3 linked regions of the Macaca fascicularis genome follow. The protein of the gene in region 1 interacts with the protein of each later gene in a pairwise test. Links are inferred from orthologs where the notes say so. Each region holds a gene or a part of one and is shown on either strand. Other genes may lie near its edges. The genes, in order: FAM9B, FCHSD2 and CDC42EP4.

What was found.
Region 2: the proteins of FAM9B (region 1) and FCHSD2 interact in binary tests that used the Homo sapiens proteins (3 or more experiments, as listed by UniProt). The two-hybrid records come from large-scale screens. The link is inferred for Macaca fascicularis from reciprocal best matches to the Homo sapiens genes FAM9B and FCHSD2.
Region 3: the proteins of FAM9B (region 1) and CDC42EP4 interact in binary tests that used the Homo sapiens proteins (3 or more experiments, as listed by UniProt). The two-hybrid records come from large-scale screens. The link is inferred for Macaca fascicularis from reciprocal best matches to the Homo sapiens genes FAM9B and CDC42EP4.

The regions. Positions count from the first base shown.
Region 1 is NC_088395.1:8,681,084-8,686,119, forward strand, and holds part of FAM9B (protein FAM9B), read right to left. Parts: intron 3,604-5,036; coding exon 3,504-3,603; intron 2,658-3,503; coding exon 2,546-2,657; intron 1,169-2,545; coding exon 1,070-1,168; intron 1-1,069. UniProt on the Homo sapiens protein: May play a role in meiosis.
Region 2 is NC_088388.1:71,690,839-71,696,075, reverse strand, and holds part of FCHSD2 (F-BAR and double SH3 domains protein 2), read left to right. Parts: intron 1-1,542; coding exon 1,543-1,659; intron 1,660-3,670; coding exon 3,671-3,775; intron 3,776-5,237. UniProt on the Homo sapiens protein: Adapter protein that plays a role in endocytosis via clathrin-coated pits. Contributes to the internalization of cell surface receptors, such as integrin ITGB1 and transferrin receptor.
Region 3 is NC_088390.1:79,651,768-79,657,104, reverse strand, and holds the start of CDC42EP4 (cdc42 effector protein 4), read left to right. Parts: upstream 1-2,201; 5' UTR 2,202-2,310; intron 2,311-3,283; exon of another isoform or gene 3,284-3,318; intron 3,319-5,337. UniProt on the Homo sapiens protein: Probably involved in the organization of the actin cytoskeleton. May act downstream of CDC42 to induce actin filament assembly leading to cell shape changes. Induces pseudopodia formation, when overexpressed in fibroblasts.

The sequences.
Region 1 (5,036 bases):
CTAGTTTCATGTTCCTACCAATTAATAAATGGTATCTGGGGAGCATTATAGCAACATGTTCTCTACTTGTAACTTCCATTTAAATAACTGTGTATAGATCATCCTCAAGTTGCTTGAAAATTTTATTTTCAAACTCTTTTCTCAGTTTATTTAACACATCTCAGTTAGTGTAGAGGAGTGACATATGAACATGTCTTTTCACAAGATTATTAAAAAGAATACCTGGCCTCCCAAAAAAGAATTCCATTGCTTCCTAAATTATCTACATCTACATGAAGAAGAGGTTATTGTCTGATGATAATTTGCTAACGTGCTATACGACAGCAGATAATTCACAATTCACAACGTGTTAATAATCTGCTGGCTTTCCCATTTTGTTATACATCTGAACCATCTCTTATGATTACAAATTGTCATGTAAAACAATTACTAATAATTTTGTGAGTGAATATGCCATTAAAACGCTCCTGTATTACAGCAGGAAATAAAAGAGACACTCAGTAGTTACACTTGCCTACTTCCTATTTAACTAAAACTCTTGAAACAACACAAGTAAAAAAGATATCCAGAAAGGATTTAAGGACTTCCTGCCTTCCACCATAGATCTGTCATTGATGTTCTGAAAACTGAAAATAGTATCTTCATTAAAACCCATTTATGCCTAGTGTTCCATATAGGAACGCTAACCTTGTGGGAATCATGTATATCCTACTGCTCAAGGTCATTGCCAAGGTCTGATTTTTCATACACAAAAACAATTTGCAACCTCTGGCATAAATAAGTTAATGTGTTAATAAAGTGTCAATTTTATACATAAGATGTATATTTCTAGGTAAAATTTCCACTTTACCTTTTCCTGTTCTAAATAACTCCTACAAACTATTCATGAATCCTAAAAATACATTTACCAATACTATTATATCTGGAACAATACATTCAAAGTGAAAATGGTAAGTAATTTAAAATGTATAACCAAAATGTCTTTCCATACATTCAGAAACAAGCAGACTTTCTTCCATTATGCACGTGGTGTATTTTATAATGTATTATGTTACCAAATAGAACAGACCTTTAAGAATTGGTCACGTAGCAGCTTCATCTCTTTCAGCCTCTCTCTCCTAACACTTCTATATTGCTGCCACCTCTTCTGTTGTTCTTGAAATATTTTCTAGAATCCCACAACAAAATAGTGATAAAAATTGGGTAAATTTTAATACTTACAAAACACAATTCTCCATTAGCTTTAAAGGAATACTCTTTAAATCAATACTTCTGAACACTTTCTTTTAGACAACATTTAGGACCAATTTTAAACGATCGTGTTCGCCAATCACATGCTAAAAATGATGTATTAACCTTTTTCATCAGTCATTAAGTAAATAATTTTCTTACTTTCACATATTCAACACGTATGTCCTAATTTCTCGATTTCCAATGAAGAATATTTGATGAACCTTCCTACAATTTGTTGACCACAGATAGGTAAGATCTATACAGAAATTAACTAAGACACATTCTTTCTAGGATTTTAAGCATGTATTAAATCTTGGTCATTTCAATAGGCACATAGATGAACCACCCAATAATGATGGCCTTTCTGCACCTTGATTTAATCTCCAACAACAGTGTTCTCCTCTCCTCTACGTGGCACTCACTCACACAGTCATCCCCTAGATTTTGTCATTCCCAATGACTGCAACACCTATGTAATATTAATAATAGCAATGATAAGGAGCAACCATGGGTCAGATCACATCCTGAAAAACTTAAATAAACCTGTTACATAGAAACCTTTTGATCCTCCAACAACTCTGACGTAGGTACTCTTACCATGTCTCCTTTCGTAGATAATTTGCCCGTGGTTTCTGAGCTAGCAATGGTCAAGCTGAGATAAATAATTTTTCCACGGTTTCCGAGCTAGCACAGAGATAAATAATTTTTCCGTGGTTTCTGAGCTAGCAACAGTCAAGCTGGAGTTGGATCCCAAGCAGTGTGGCTGCATAGTCCCAGCCCTTGAACCACTGTAGTCAGCTGTTTCTCCATCTTCCCAACATACAGCCACTACCTCCCTGCCATTGTAGGTCACTCACTTCAGTACTATAGCTCAGGAGTCTGTCGAGACCTGACACCCACTGAATGGAGCACTGTTTACTGCCCATTGCCCACCCCATGTGCTCGGGTAACTCAGTCCCAGCTGAAATTCCACAGCCAGTCATCTATCCTCATCCCTGCATCTATTCCCTGCCCAACTCTCCCTCTGTCAATCTGCTCGGCTAGACCCCAACCCAGGAAATTCCAACCCTACAGCTGCTCTTACACAAATACTCCAACTGGGCTCACTTCAATTTCTTCATCGTTATGATGCTGACTTCAGTTGGACCCCTAATGCTGCATGGCAATTATATTCCCCTGGTACATGAGTCCACTAACGGGCCCCCTCTCTGGGCTCATGCACTCTTCCTTCTTTGCTGAATTTCTGCATGAACAATTACTCCCTGAGACATTGATACAACAGGTTAAACATAAAGCTAAGCCTGATACCAACAATTAGTTCTTCTTCTTCTCCCTCTTCTTCTTCTTCTTCTTTCTGCTCATCTGTGATGTATTCTTCAAGGACATTCAGCAACTTCAGAGAATGTATATAATCACGTTTCTGCCTGTAATACATAATAAGTAACACGGTCAAACTTCATAGAGAGATGAAAAATTAATCCTATTCAAACCCAAACTGACTTGACATAATTTATCCTATAAAGTAGCAAGGGAGTAATAGTAGCTGAAATCTTCTTTTTGGAAAAAGGTGAAATGAGTTGCTCTCATTCTGAAAGGATTCCTTCCTTCCTGACTACTAGAGCAGCTATCTTATATTCTTTACCTGCTGAAGACAAAGGAGGGTTTACTGCACTATAAGTTTCCCAGAAACATTCATTTTCTCTAAGAGCAGTTTACTTTTCATTTCCTTTTACTGAATAACATATGGGTTCTCATAAGTAGGTTCAAGAATATCATAGCCATTCATCCCGTAAGATTTCCCAGAAGAAATGCTTCACTTAACTATTTCTCCACTTTGGCACACCAATGGTTTTGTAAAAGAAATAGTGAAAACAATTTAACTAAAATAGATAACTTATTTACAACATAAGGTTATCCCTTTCTACATAATTGAGTATCGTTAAGGATCTACAGACTAAACATTGAGAACATTTATCTTATATGCAGCTACCATATTTCTAGAAATGGATAAACATTAATTTTACAGGAAGACTATTTTTATCTGGAAGGCAAAAAGAGGTCATCTTCATTGACTTCTAGGTAATATCTCTTGATTCTGTTAAACTGAGGTTATAAAACTAAAGAAACTTACCTGCTTAGAGAACAATCAAGTAAAATATGTTGTTCACTAGAGACGCCAATATGTACAGGGTAGTTTTTGAAATTATTTGCACCAACGAATACAAAGAAATGATATAAATATCATTACGCGAGAAAGCCAACAGTCATACCTTTTAAGTTGTTTTTTTCTCAAAGCATTTTTACTTTTGTTCTTTGTTTTGCTGCAAGCTTTATCCATTTTCATCTTTTTTCTTTTTGCAGTAAGATCCTCTTTAATGTCAGTTAGTAAATGAAAATGGATTAAAAGTTAATGTTGAAAAGTAGTTTATTTGCATATACTGACATCAATATGGGACATTATGGTTCAGCAATACAAGAAGGATATTTAAAATATAAAATTCAAAAATCATTTCAAAAAGCAAGATTTACTCACTTATTTTCTGTAAAACATTTCAGGTATTAATATTCGTATTTCAATTCCAATTTGTATAGCTGAAAATCACTTAATTGACGGATGATGAAAAAAAGCAAATAATTAAAAGTTTCTATTTTTTAAATGTGCAGAAAGGGTTATAAGCACAGACTTTAATTTCTACATTTACAAAATGTCCTACAATTCAAAGGAGATGTTTCCATGAAGTACTGCACAACTCATTATGTAAAGCACACAAAAAAGTATCATATAGTAAAACCATCCAAAGGGTAGAAATAAGTTAATACACAGTAAGAAAAGCATTTTTAAGCAATCTAGTGATTGATGCTATTAACTGTATTTTAATAAAAGAAGCCATGGCCATGAGTATGAAAATTTAGGTTTAGGTAAAGAAATACACTCAAAAACACTTTTAAAATATTTTCTTGCAGCTTTTTATATGACATTTGTGCCCATAGTGCTGTGTTTCAGAAAACTGTAATACTGCAAGGAATGCTTTCCTAAACATGATTTCACATCAGAGACCTACCATCAATTGCTAAAAACAGTTTTCAGCAATCATAAAAGATTTGTACCATAATGCAAATATTTTTTACATACAGTCTCCATCTATAACGCCCAATGTATTAGGCAGCTCACAAAACCGGCACTTTTTGTCACCAAGCAGAGCAAAGCTTTCCAAATATACTGCTTGTATGAATCATCGCTATCGAAGAGCTGAAAACTGAATTGAGCTTTTCAAAAGTAAGAGTATTGTCTCCATCATCTTTACAGAAATTTTCTCAAACTTTTTTGAAAATATGGTCCCTATAACAGTGCAACTAATATTTCACACAGCAATATAAAGTTTATGAGTTTTTGGATCCAATTACATGTTTCTCACTAGATAGAAAAGTTGTCCTTACTTTTGTACTACACAGTTTATTACTGGAATAATAATAGAAAATGATTTTAGAGAATTCAATTTTCTCTTGTACTTCAAATAAAACAAAATCAGAAAGCTGTGACAATAGAATAGCTAAATTAAGAACATGAAAAACTCTTATTAAAAACTCTGAGTACATATGGACAGGAAGAAGGGACCAACAGACAACTGGGCCTACTTGAGAGTGGAGGGTAGGAGGAGGGTGAGGATCAAAAACCACCCATCAGGTACTATGCTTATAACCTGGGTGACAAAATAATCTGTATACCAAAACCCTGTGACATGCAATTTATCTATATAACACACCTGCACATGTACCCCCAAACTTAAAGTGAAAGCTTAAAA
Region 2 (5,237 bases), on another chromosome or scaffold:
GCAAAGCAAAATATAATAATAAAGTTCATTCCCATTAGAATATAAAATGTGAATGTAAAGATGGTTAGGTTTGAATTTTGATTATTTTGCTCTATTTAAATTCATTTGTCATTGTTATAATCTAGCTTTAGCTGAAATATCTGTATAGAACAAAAATTTTTAAACTCTGCCCCATCACAATTCCCCCAACAAAAATATTAATTTTTAAAATCCAGTTTATCAATTTCTACTTACTCTATCAATTTTGAACTATGAGACCTTGCAAAAGAATTACTAGGCCAGGTGTAGTGGCTCATCCCTGGCATTTCAACACTTTGGAAGGCCAGAGTGGGAGGATTACTTGAGCCGAGGAGTTCAAGACAAGCCTGGGCAACATAGAGAGACCTTATCTCTAGAAGGAAAAAAAAAAAATTAGCTGGGTATGGTGGCACACACCTGTAGTTCCAGCTACTCAGGAGGCTGAAATGGAAGAGTCACTTGATCCCGGAGGTCAACGCTGCAGTGAGCCATGATCAGAATTTCTAAAATTCTTTTCATTCTACAATTTTGCTTCTTTCTATATGAAAAGCCTCTTTGGGTGATTCATATTTTTTTAAAATAAATTCCTAATTATTTCAATAAAGTTTGTTTTTCAGGGGTCTTTAAGAATTTAGAGAGAATTAAAATAGTTTTGTGTTTAATGGCTCTGATTCTGTAATCAGACAATTACGGTTGTAACATTTAATATCTAGGACATCCAAGAAAAATTAACCTCTCTGAGCCTTTGTTTTCTTTTCTATAAAATGGTGTGGGACCCACGTCATAAAGTTGTTTAAAAAAAAAGTTATATGAATCACTTTCCATAGTACTTTGCACAATAGGAGTTAGCTATTAATATTTTTATTTAGATTTTGTGGTTTGTTCTTTGTAAATCAGAATCATAGCATACAGCTAGAAGAAACCCTTGGTGATCATTTTATCTAGCACCCTTATATTTCATATGAAGCCTGGAGAAAGGGCAAAAGCTGACTTTTAAGGTTTGGTGGCAAGTTGATGATGGACCTCTAACGAGTTCCATCTGCCTTGGGTTAGCAGGAGGGGTGCAAGATTGTGTTGCTGTTATTGTATTGTTTTGTTCTTATCTTTAATGATTCCTTACTCACATTGAAACTATTAAGTTGTTTCCATTTTTATTTATGCAATGATTTTATCACCATAGTAGGTTGGCATGAATACATTTTCTTCTTTGCTTACCTTAGCTAGCTTCCTTTTCACTCGGAAAGATAAGTCCGTCACACCCAAAAAGATAAGTCTGCAGTATTAGAGATGATGCTTTTGTGTTCAGCACTGTAAGACAAAAAGTTTATGGTCTTTAATGGTTTTATACTCATCTTACTCTTCTGGTAACTTTCTGTGACGATAAGACATTGTTTCCAGCAGTAGTGGAGTGTGCCTTATGTTTTGAGTGCTGATTAAGTGAAGGCCTTCTGATCCATCTACAAAGCAGTGGTGGTTGCAATAAAGATAGCAATATTTTTATCTCTGTTCTGTCTTGTGTTGTAGAGCCGACAATTAGAATCAGAAACTGGGACCACAGAGGAGCACAGTCTAAATAAGGAAGCTCGAAAATGGGCCACACGTGTGGCACGTGAGCATAAAAACATTGTTCATCAACAACGGGTAAGTATAAGAGAAAGTCCTAGTTACATTCACCTTAAGCCAAATGTCAAACAGTTTAAGGAGCTGAGTTTTATTAATGTGAAAAATATCCTATATGTGTTGTTTTGTTTTGTTTTGTTTTGTTTGAGACAAGAGGCTTGCTCTGTCACCCAGGTTGAAGGGCAGTGGTGTGAACATAGCTTACTGCAGCTTCAACCTCCTGGGCTGAAGCAATCCTCCCACTTCAGCCTCCCAAGTAGCTGGGACCACAGGCACACACCACCATGCCTGGCTAATTTTTTTTAGGTTTTTTGTAGAGATAGGGTCTTGCCATGTTTCCCAGGCTGGTCTCAAACTCCTTTGCTCAAGCATTGTATGTGTTTTTTCTGTACTTTCTCAACACTTAGCAGTGTGCTGTCAGCTATCTACTCATGTTGGAATTTCCTTAAGCCCTCCATCAGCAATACATTAATTCACCAGTTTACCATAAAATTGCCAAAGAAAAGCTGTGATAGTGTGTTACGGGCAGGGGAAGAGACATATGTTGAATTAATACAGGTTTTCATCCCTCAAGACATATTTTTTAAAGACACAATTATAGGTTTCATGAAAATATATGTTTGGCTGGGCGCAGTGGGTCATGCCTGTAATCCCAGAACTTTGGGAGGCTGAGGCAGGTCGATTGCTTGAGCCAGGAGTTTCAGACCAGCCTGAGCAACATGGCAAAAAACCCAGTCTCTACAAAAAATTCAAAAATTAGTCGGACATGGTGGCACACACCTATCTTCCCACCTATTCGGGAGGCTAAGGTTGGGGAGAATTGCTTGAGCCCAGGAGGTGGAGGTTACATTGAGGTAAGATCATGCCACTGCACTCCAGCCTGGGTGACAGGGCAAGACACTGTCTCGAAAGAAAAGAAAAGAAAGGGAAGGAGAAAGGGAAGGAGGACAGGAAGAAGGATGGGAAAGAGGAAGGGAAGGAAGAAGGGAGAAAATATATCTCAAAGACTAAACTCTAAGCACAAAGAAATTATTTTCAGTATAGTACTTTTTTTCTCAATTTCATTTATTGATACCTATATCCTTCTCATTCTTTGCTTTCACATCCTACTTCTTAAAAGAATTGCCTATGCTTATTATCTATAGAATCTCACCTCCCACTTACTTTTTAGCCCATTACATTTGAGCTTTCCTTTCCTTTCCTTCCCCCTGTATCACTTCATAGTCTAAGCTTACCAAAATCACCAATGATGTCTGTGTTGCTAACTTCAAAATGGACAGTTTGATTTCTCATTTTTCTTAATCTGTCAACAATTTTATCACAATTGACAACTCCCTTTGTCTTAAAATGTTATCTTCTCTAGTCATCCACGATTCAACATTGTCCTGGCTTTCCTTCTGCCTTTCTGGCTATTCCTAGATTTTTTCATAGTTTCCTCTTTCTCCAGCCCACAATTAAATATTCATTTTCTCAGATTGTTTGGCTATCTTGTTTTTTTTATTCTTTATCCTCATATAGGCATTCTCAATCACTTCCATGGTTTTACTTTACCACCAAATCATAAATTATTATCTTCAACATTGGGCCTAGCTACTACTGTGTATCCATATAACCTCTTTCCTGTTTTGACATCTTTTCACTATCTCACAGGCATCTCAGATTCAATGTTCTACTTATGTAATGTTGCTTAACAAACCACCTCAAACTTAATGCCGTAGAACAAGAGGGTTTTTACATTATCTCTCACTAATCTGAGTATTGGGTGGTCTCAGCTTAGCAGTTTCCCTTGGGGTCTCTCATGTGGCGTCAGTCAGACAGTGGCTGGTCCTGGCTTCCCCACTGAAGGGACTCTCTGTAGTAAGTTTGTTACTAGTAAGTCTATAATTATTTCAAAATGTTCAAAAAATAAATAAATGAAAAAAATTGTGGCTACTAGTCACTAAAGCCTTTTGAATTATGTAAATACTCTAATCACTTAAGGAAGATAAAAAGTAAAAAACAGTCATCATTATTGTCCCATTTTTTTTAATAGGTTCTAGATGATCTGGAGTGTCATGGACCTGCTGTATCAGAACAAAGCCGAGCAGAGCTGGAACAGAAAATAGATGAAGCTAGAGAAAATATTCGTAAAGCAGAGGTAAGGTGGCAGCTAACTGTGGCATTTTGCCCAGGTCTAATGACACTGTCGCAACTGTGATATGCACCTTTAAAACTGAGTTGCTACACACACTGAGATGAAGGTGATTCACCGTCTTCATTCGTGTCCACAGTAGGATTTTTTTTTTTTTTTTTTTTTTTTGAGACGGAGTCTCGCTCTGCTGCCCAGGCTGGAGGTGCAGTGCACGATCTCGGCTTACTGCAAGCTCCTCCTCCCAGGTTCATGCCATTCTCCTGCCTCAGCCTCCCGAGTAGCTGGGACTACAGGCGCCTGCCACCACGCCCAGCTAATTTTTTTTTGTATCTTTTTAGTAGAGACGGGGTTTCACCATGTTAGCCAGGATGGTCTCTATCTCCTGACCTCGTGATCCACCTGCCTTGGCCTCCTAAAGTGCTAGGATTACAGGCGTGAGCTACTACACCCGGCCATCCACAGTAGTATTTGTTAAGTACCTGCTCTGTGGAAGGCAGTACATATAACAAAAAGATGCCGTAAAGTTTACAGTCATGAAACATTAAATACAAAAGATTTAAGTCACAATGAAGATACTAATTTTAAAATTTCTACAAGGTACATAATAAACCACAGAGATTAATGGTAGAAAAATCGACGTATGTGTATCAATTTAGAGATATATATCAATTTAGATATATCTATCTCCTTATATATCAATATATATGGAGATATATATACATATATATTCATACATATATATTCAGAGCTTGGGAAATCTCCCCCATATGGAAGGTTCCCTGGATCCAGGGACATGAGCTGGGCTTTTAAGAATAGGGAAGATTTGGTTAAGCAAAGATGGGAAAAAATTTATAATAGTGGATTTTAATTTTTTATGGAGTCTTGGGACCTTTGAGAGTTGTATGAAAGCTGTGAAACATTCTCTCCCACGTACAAAAATGTACATTTTGTATACGGTGTTTAGAGTTCATATGCCTGAGGCTAATACTCTCTGCTCTAGATGGGGAGAGGTTGGGATAGGAAACAAGAAAGTATTAGCAAATGAGGAAGACACAGGGTATAATTTGGTAGCTGGATAGATTAGAGTGGAGGATTTTTGTGAGGAAATGTGATAGAAAATAAGTAAACTTGTTGTGGTTAGGGCCAGTTCATGGAGGACCCGTGCACACACTATCTACTCAGCAGCAACATGATGAAGGGGTATAGAGATAGACATTCATAAAAGACTGACACCATCCAGCCATCAAAAGATTATGTTCTTGTTAGAAAGGCATAAAGAATGCCAAAAATAACTAAGATGGTAAAGCATAAGTGCGGAGGAGTGGTGCATTAAGTGTAGTTGAAGAATCCAGAGGACACAGAAATCACTCTGGGAGGGATTGTTTTGGGTGTAACACAGAAGAAGACTTAAGATGAATACTGGCAGATGAATAGTATTTGATTAGTCAGATAAAAGGGGATAGCACAG
Region 3 (5,337 bases), on another chromosome or scaffold:
GTGAAAGAGAATAGAATCTAGGGACCCCAGATTCACTGTGTCAAAGGGAAAGTTTAATCCCAGCATTTTCGGAGGTTGAGGTGGGTGGATTGCTTGAGCTAGGAGTTTGAGACCAGCCTGGGCAACATGACGAAACCCTATCTCTACAAAAGAAAAGTACAAAATATGTAGCTGGGTGTGGTGGCACACGCCTGTAGTCTCAGCTACTCAGGAAGGTGAGGTGGGAGGATCGCTTGAGCCCAGGAGGTCAAGGCTATAGTGAGCTATGATTGTAGCACTGCACTCCAGCCTGGGCGACAGAGCGAGACCCTGTCTCCAAAAAAAAAAAAAAAAAAAAAAACAAAAAAAAACAAGAAGGAGGTGGGGAAGTTAAGTTAAGCTTGGAAACCACAAAAACTGCTTTCCTTTTGTTTCCAGACAGCTGCAGTTTCACAAACCTGTGTCATAGCCTAATTTCCTTTGCTCCTTATAGACATACTGAGCAGGAGACAATGCATCATTGACTTTTTCTTCTATTCCTTTTCATATAAAATGTAGATTTACAGATGCTAAATCAGAGTTTCACGTGCTTGTAACCTCAATGTCTTTCCTCCCTCCCTCTTCTTTTCCTTTCCTGTTTGCTTTTTCTCTTTTAAATATGGAAATTCCCGAAACCCTTTTTGGAAAAAAGGTGATTTTTCCCAGGTGGATCCTCAACCTTGGCTAACTAAATCTCTGTTTGATTGAGACCTGCTTTAGTCACTTTTTGGTTTACACCCATGATAACCCCGCCAGGGTTCGAATCCACATTGTGTCTGCCTCCCAAGTGGCTCCGAACCCTACCTTTCCTCCAGATGTCCAGTTCAGAATTTGATTTTCCTTTCTTTTTTCTTTTTTTCTTTTTAGAGATGGAGTCTCCCTCTGTCACCCAGGCTAGAGTGCAATAGCACAATCTCGGCTCACTGTAACCTCCGCCTCCCGGGTTCAAGCGATTCTCCTGCTTCAGCCTCCCGAGTAGCTGGGATTACAGGCGTCCACCACCACGCCCTGCTAATTTTTGTATTTTTAGTAGAGATAGGGTTTCACCATGTTGGCCAGGCTGGTCTCAAACTCCCGACCTCAAGTGATCCACTTGCCTTGGCCTCCCAAAATGCTAGGATTACAGGCATGAGCCACTGTGTCCAGCCCAGAATTTAATTTTCACAGCAGGATGGAGTGGTCAGACCATCAGATCTCAAAAGCTGGTTGCTGTCGCACTGCAGAGGGAAACGGAAATGTGCAGTCCCCAGAAAGCAGAATGTCCCTGAGGGCTTAGTGACCTTGAAGCCGTAGGGAAAGTCTGGGGCCTCCACCCTCACTTCCTTTAAAAACCGAGGTTGGGGTTTAGCTAGAGGCAAGGGAACCTTTCACTTTGCACCTTGTCCACTTTCTTTTAGTTGACTACTTCGCAGCTGGCATTGTACCTTGATAATGATCATTTCAACTGAAACTATTCCTCTAAAAAGAATGGAGTCCAAGGCCTGGGAGTTGGATTCAGGCTCTGGGACTCAGGAGTTGATCTCCTTGACGTTCACCTGGAGCAAATTTAGCCTCAGCTGATACTTAGGAGGCAAAGGCACAGACTTGGGGATGCGGGGAGCTCAAGGGCTGTCACCCTGTAGAAACCCTTCTGACGCCCAGTTCAGGCCTGGCCTCGGGGCTGGCCGGCTCCTCCTTGCTCCCTCGTTTCCAGCGAGAGTCTGGGATGGCACCCACAAAGCTGGTGGCGTCAGCCCTCCTGCCCCCAACTCCCAACAGTACTGGAGCCAGGTGGTTAGCAGGTCCGGGAGGGAGCAAGAACGAGGGACGCCACCTGGGCTGGAGTTCTTGGTTTCCTGTCCTGGCTCGAATGGGGAAGAGCCTTAAGAGAGCCTCGCGCCAGGCCCCCGGAGGGAGCCGCGCCCCTGGCCCTGGGGGCCCCTGTGGGGGTTCGCGGCCGGAGCGCAGGCTGGGCCGGGGTGTCTCCCGGAAGCCGGGCTGGCCCAGGCTGCCCCATATGGAGTTGGGAAAGTCTCAGGCTTTCGGTTTGAACCTAGGAGGCCGAGCAGCCGGGCAGAGGTTCCCGACGGCCATTGGCTGCGGCGGCGCCGTGACATCAGCGCGGAGGGGTGCTCGGGGAGGGCGCGGGCGGAGCCTGGAAGGGGAGTGTCCTGGCGGCTCCCAGCCCTGAAAGCCCGAGAGCCAGAGGGAAACAAACGCCGGCGCTGACAGGGGCCGCTACCCCCGCCGCCGCGCGGAGCCCACAGAGGAGACAGCGCAGCTGGGTCGGCGCTCGGGTCCCCGGGGACCGAGGTAGGCGACGGGTACCCGCCTCTGGCTGTGGTAGCCGCCTTCGCGCTGGGTGCTCAGGGTGGGCTTGGGGGGGCTCGAGCCCCCCTGTGGGGCAGAGAGGATCCAAGCTAGGGATGCGAGGCCGCGGCGCGGGGAGAGGGGCGCGGAGTCCCCACTTCTCGGCGCTCGCGCTTCTCTCCGCACCCGCCGCGGTGACTGGGACCCGGAGACGCGCACCCAGTGTCCTGGCAGAGCGGGATGTGCGGAGGAGGGGGTGGCAGGGAGCCGGGCGCAGCGTCGCCGGGACTCGATTTCCTTTCTACGCTGGAACTCTTGGGCTTGGCCGAGGGCGCCGCTGGGCGGGTTGGGGGCTGGTTTTAAAGGGCCTCCCCCTTCCCAGGAATGGGGTGTGTGTCGGTGTGGGCAGGAGGGCAGCAATCGGCGGCGCGCGGCCCGCGATCTCCGCGAGGGGGGCGTGTGTGCGCCCGGAGTTCTCCGTGAATAAGAACCGAATTCTCCGCCTGAGCAGAGGCGTGTACACATCTCGCTCTCGTACACACACTGCAGCACACGCCACCCAATGTCACGCGGCCGGGGAGCCAGCGGGAAGGAGCTGTCTGGAAGGGAATGGCCAAAGGAACAAATGCTTCCCCGTTCCCCCACTCCCGCCCCGCGAACCCTTCCCTTCCCCGCCAGGATCCCGCCCCGCCCGCTCCCTCGGAAGCCCGGGAGGTCGAGGCGCCTCCCGGCGGGGTGCAGGGGGAGAGCAGTCGAGCCGCCTGTCCCTTTGGAGCCCGAGAGGCTGCTGCGCACGGGGCCGGTGCACCCAGAGCTCAGCGCGCTCCGCGGGGTCGCTGGCGGGAGCGGTTGGTTAATGATTTAATCGCCCGCTTGGGGCGGGTGCGCGCGGAACGGCCGTCCCTGGCCCCGCCCCCTCCCCGGAGCGCCCCCAGCCGGGGTTACAAAACTGCCCCCTCCCTCCGGCACGTCCCCTAGGAGCCGTCCTGCCCGCGGGGATCCGGTCAGTCGGTGAGTGCCCCGGCCAGGAGGGCTGGAGAGCTGGGCGGGAGCCGGGGCTGAGGCTGAGCCGGCTTCCTGGGAGAGGACTGAAGTGCGTGTGTGTGTGTGTGTGTGTGTGAGCGCAAGAGAGAGAGCGAGCGAGCGAGAGGGACTGGGGGAGGGGTGCTCTCTGCTAACTCAAACCAGGTTGCCTGTGTTTTCCCAGTGACTGCGGCCTGGGCTTTGGAAGTTTTCTTTTTCTCCCTGGGAGAATGGAGGGGAAATACAATGCCTTTTCTTTTCTTGCTGCCTCTGGAACTTCTCTCTCTCCACGACTCCCACCCCTTGCAATCTGACCAGCTCCCACATCTCTTACTGGGTGCCCGGTGCCCACTGTTTGCCCAGATAGCTGAGCAGCTGGATCCGGGTGGGGTCCTCGGGAGCCCCTTCGCTGCGAAGCCCCCTGCTCTCCCCGGAGGGGCCCGTGTGCTGGAGGGAAAATCTCTCGTCCGAAACCAGCAGCCATCTGGACCAGAGAAAGGTCCCATCCAGCGAGTGTAAACAATGAGGGGCCGGTGACAGGGGCCTCCTGCAAGGCAACTTCTTTGGCAGTCTGGGTTTCCAATAACTCCCGCAGCCCCCGCCCCCTTCTGAGGCTAGGGTGGAGGAGGGACCACCAGCAGGATGGACTGAATTTTAAGAGAACAAAGAACAGGCCACAAAGGAAGGGATTGCTGAGCTGCGGATTTCTCCCAGAAATCGGGAGTTGGCTGGGACTGAGCCAGGCCCTGAGAGAACCCCTGGCAGCCCCAGGGGCTCCTGGAGCAATAATGGGGCATCCACCAGGATCTCCTGAGGCTCTATCTCTGCTGGGAAGCCAGAGCCTGCTGAATGCGGGGGTGCCCTGCCGGTTCCTGCTCTCACCAACTACCCTGTGTGAGCTGCCCGTGTGACTGACTGATTAGTGGGGTGGTTTATCTCCTCTGAACTTGGACTTTGCCTCTCCACTCCTTGAAGACAGCTGCTCCTTCCCACAAGGGGGGGAGTTCAGTGAATTTGGGGAGATCCCAAGTAGATTCCCAGGCATCCTGGTAGACCCCTGCAGGGACTAGGAGGGGGCCACTGTGATCCTATGGGTGGTGGTTCTGGGGTGAGTCTCAGCGCCTCCCCTCTGAAATCTCCCTGAAGTCCTAGGGTCCCTGCCACTGAGGGCAGTTTGCTCCTGCTCTGCGGTACAGCCTAGGCCTGTACTATGAACGATTCTTCCATTTCTTGGGGTTTCTGCCTCTCTCTTTTTACATTCCTCTTCTTTTTTCCCCCTCGTTTCTCTCTTACCCTTGGCCACCCACCGTGCTTGTCCCTATCCTCTATACCCTGCCTCCACTGTGCTGGTGCCTCTGGAACCAGACAGTGCCTCACAGGACCGGAGACCAAGGAGCCACAAGCAAAGGAGTGGTCTCATGTATAAAGGTCACGGGAATGAGTGTTGACCTGGGAGAGGAATCTTACAGCATTCTTTTCATTTTAAAAATAATTTTTATTTTATTTATTAATGTTTTTGAGACCAGGTCTTGCTCTGTCGCCCAGGTTGCAGTGCAGCGTCATCGTCAAGGCTTACTGCATCCTTGGGCTCAAGTGATCCTCCTGGGCTCAAGTGATCCTCCCACTTCAGCCTCCCCAGTAGCTGGCACTACTGGCGCCCACCACCACGCCCAGCTATTTTTTGTATTTTTTTGTAGAGGTGGAGTTTCACCATGTTGCCCAGGCTGGTCTTGAACTCCTGAGCTCAAGGGATCTTCCCGGACCTTGGCCTTTTGAAGTGCTGGGCATACAGGTATGAGCCACTGCATCTGGCCAGCCCTTTTTTTTTTTTTTTTTTTTTTTTTCTGAGACAGAGTCTTGCTCTGTCACCCAGGCTGCAGTGCAGTGGCACAATCTCGGCTCACTGCATCCTCCACCTCCCGGGTTCAAGCAATTCTCCTGCCTCAGCCTCCCCAGTAGCTGGGACTATAGGTGCATGCCACCACGCCTGGCTAATTTTTTTGTGTG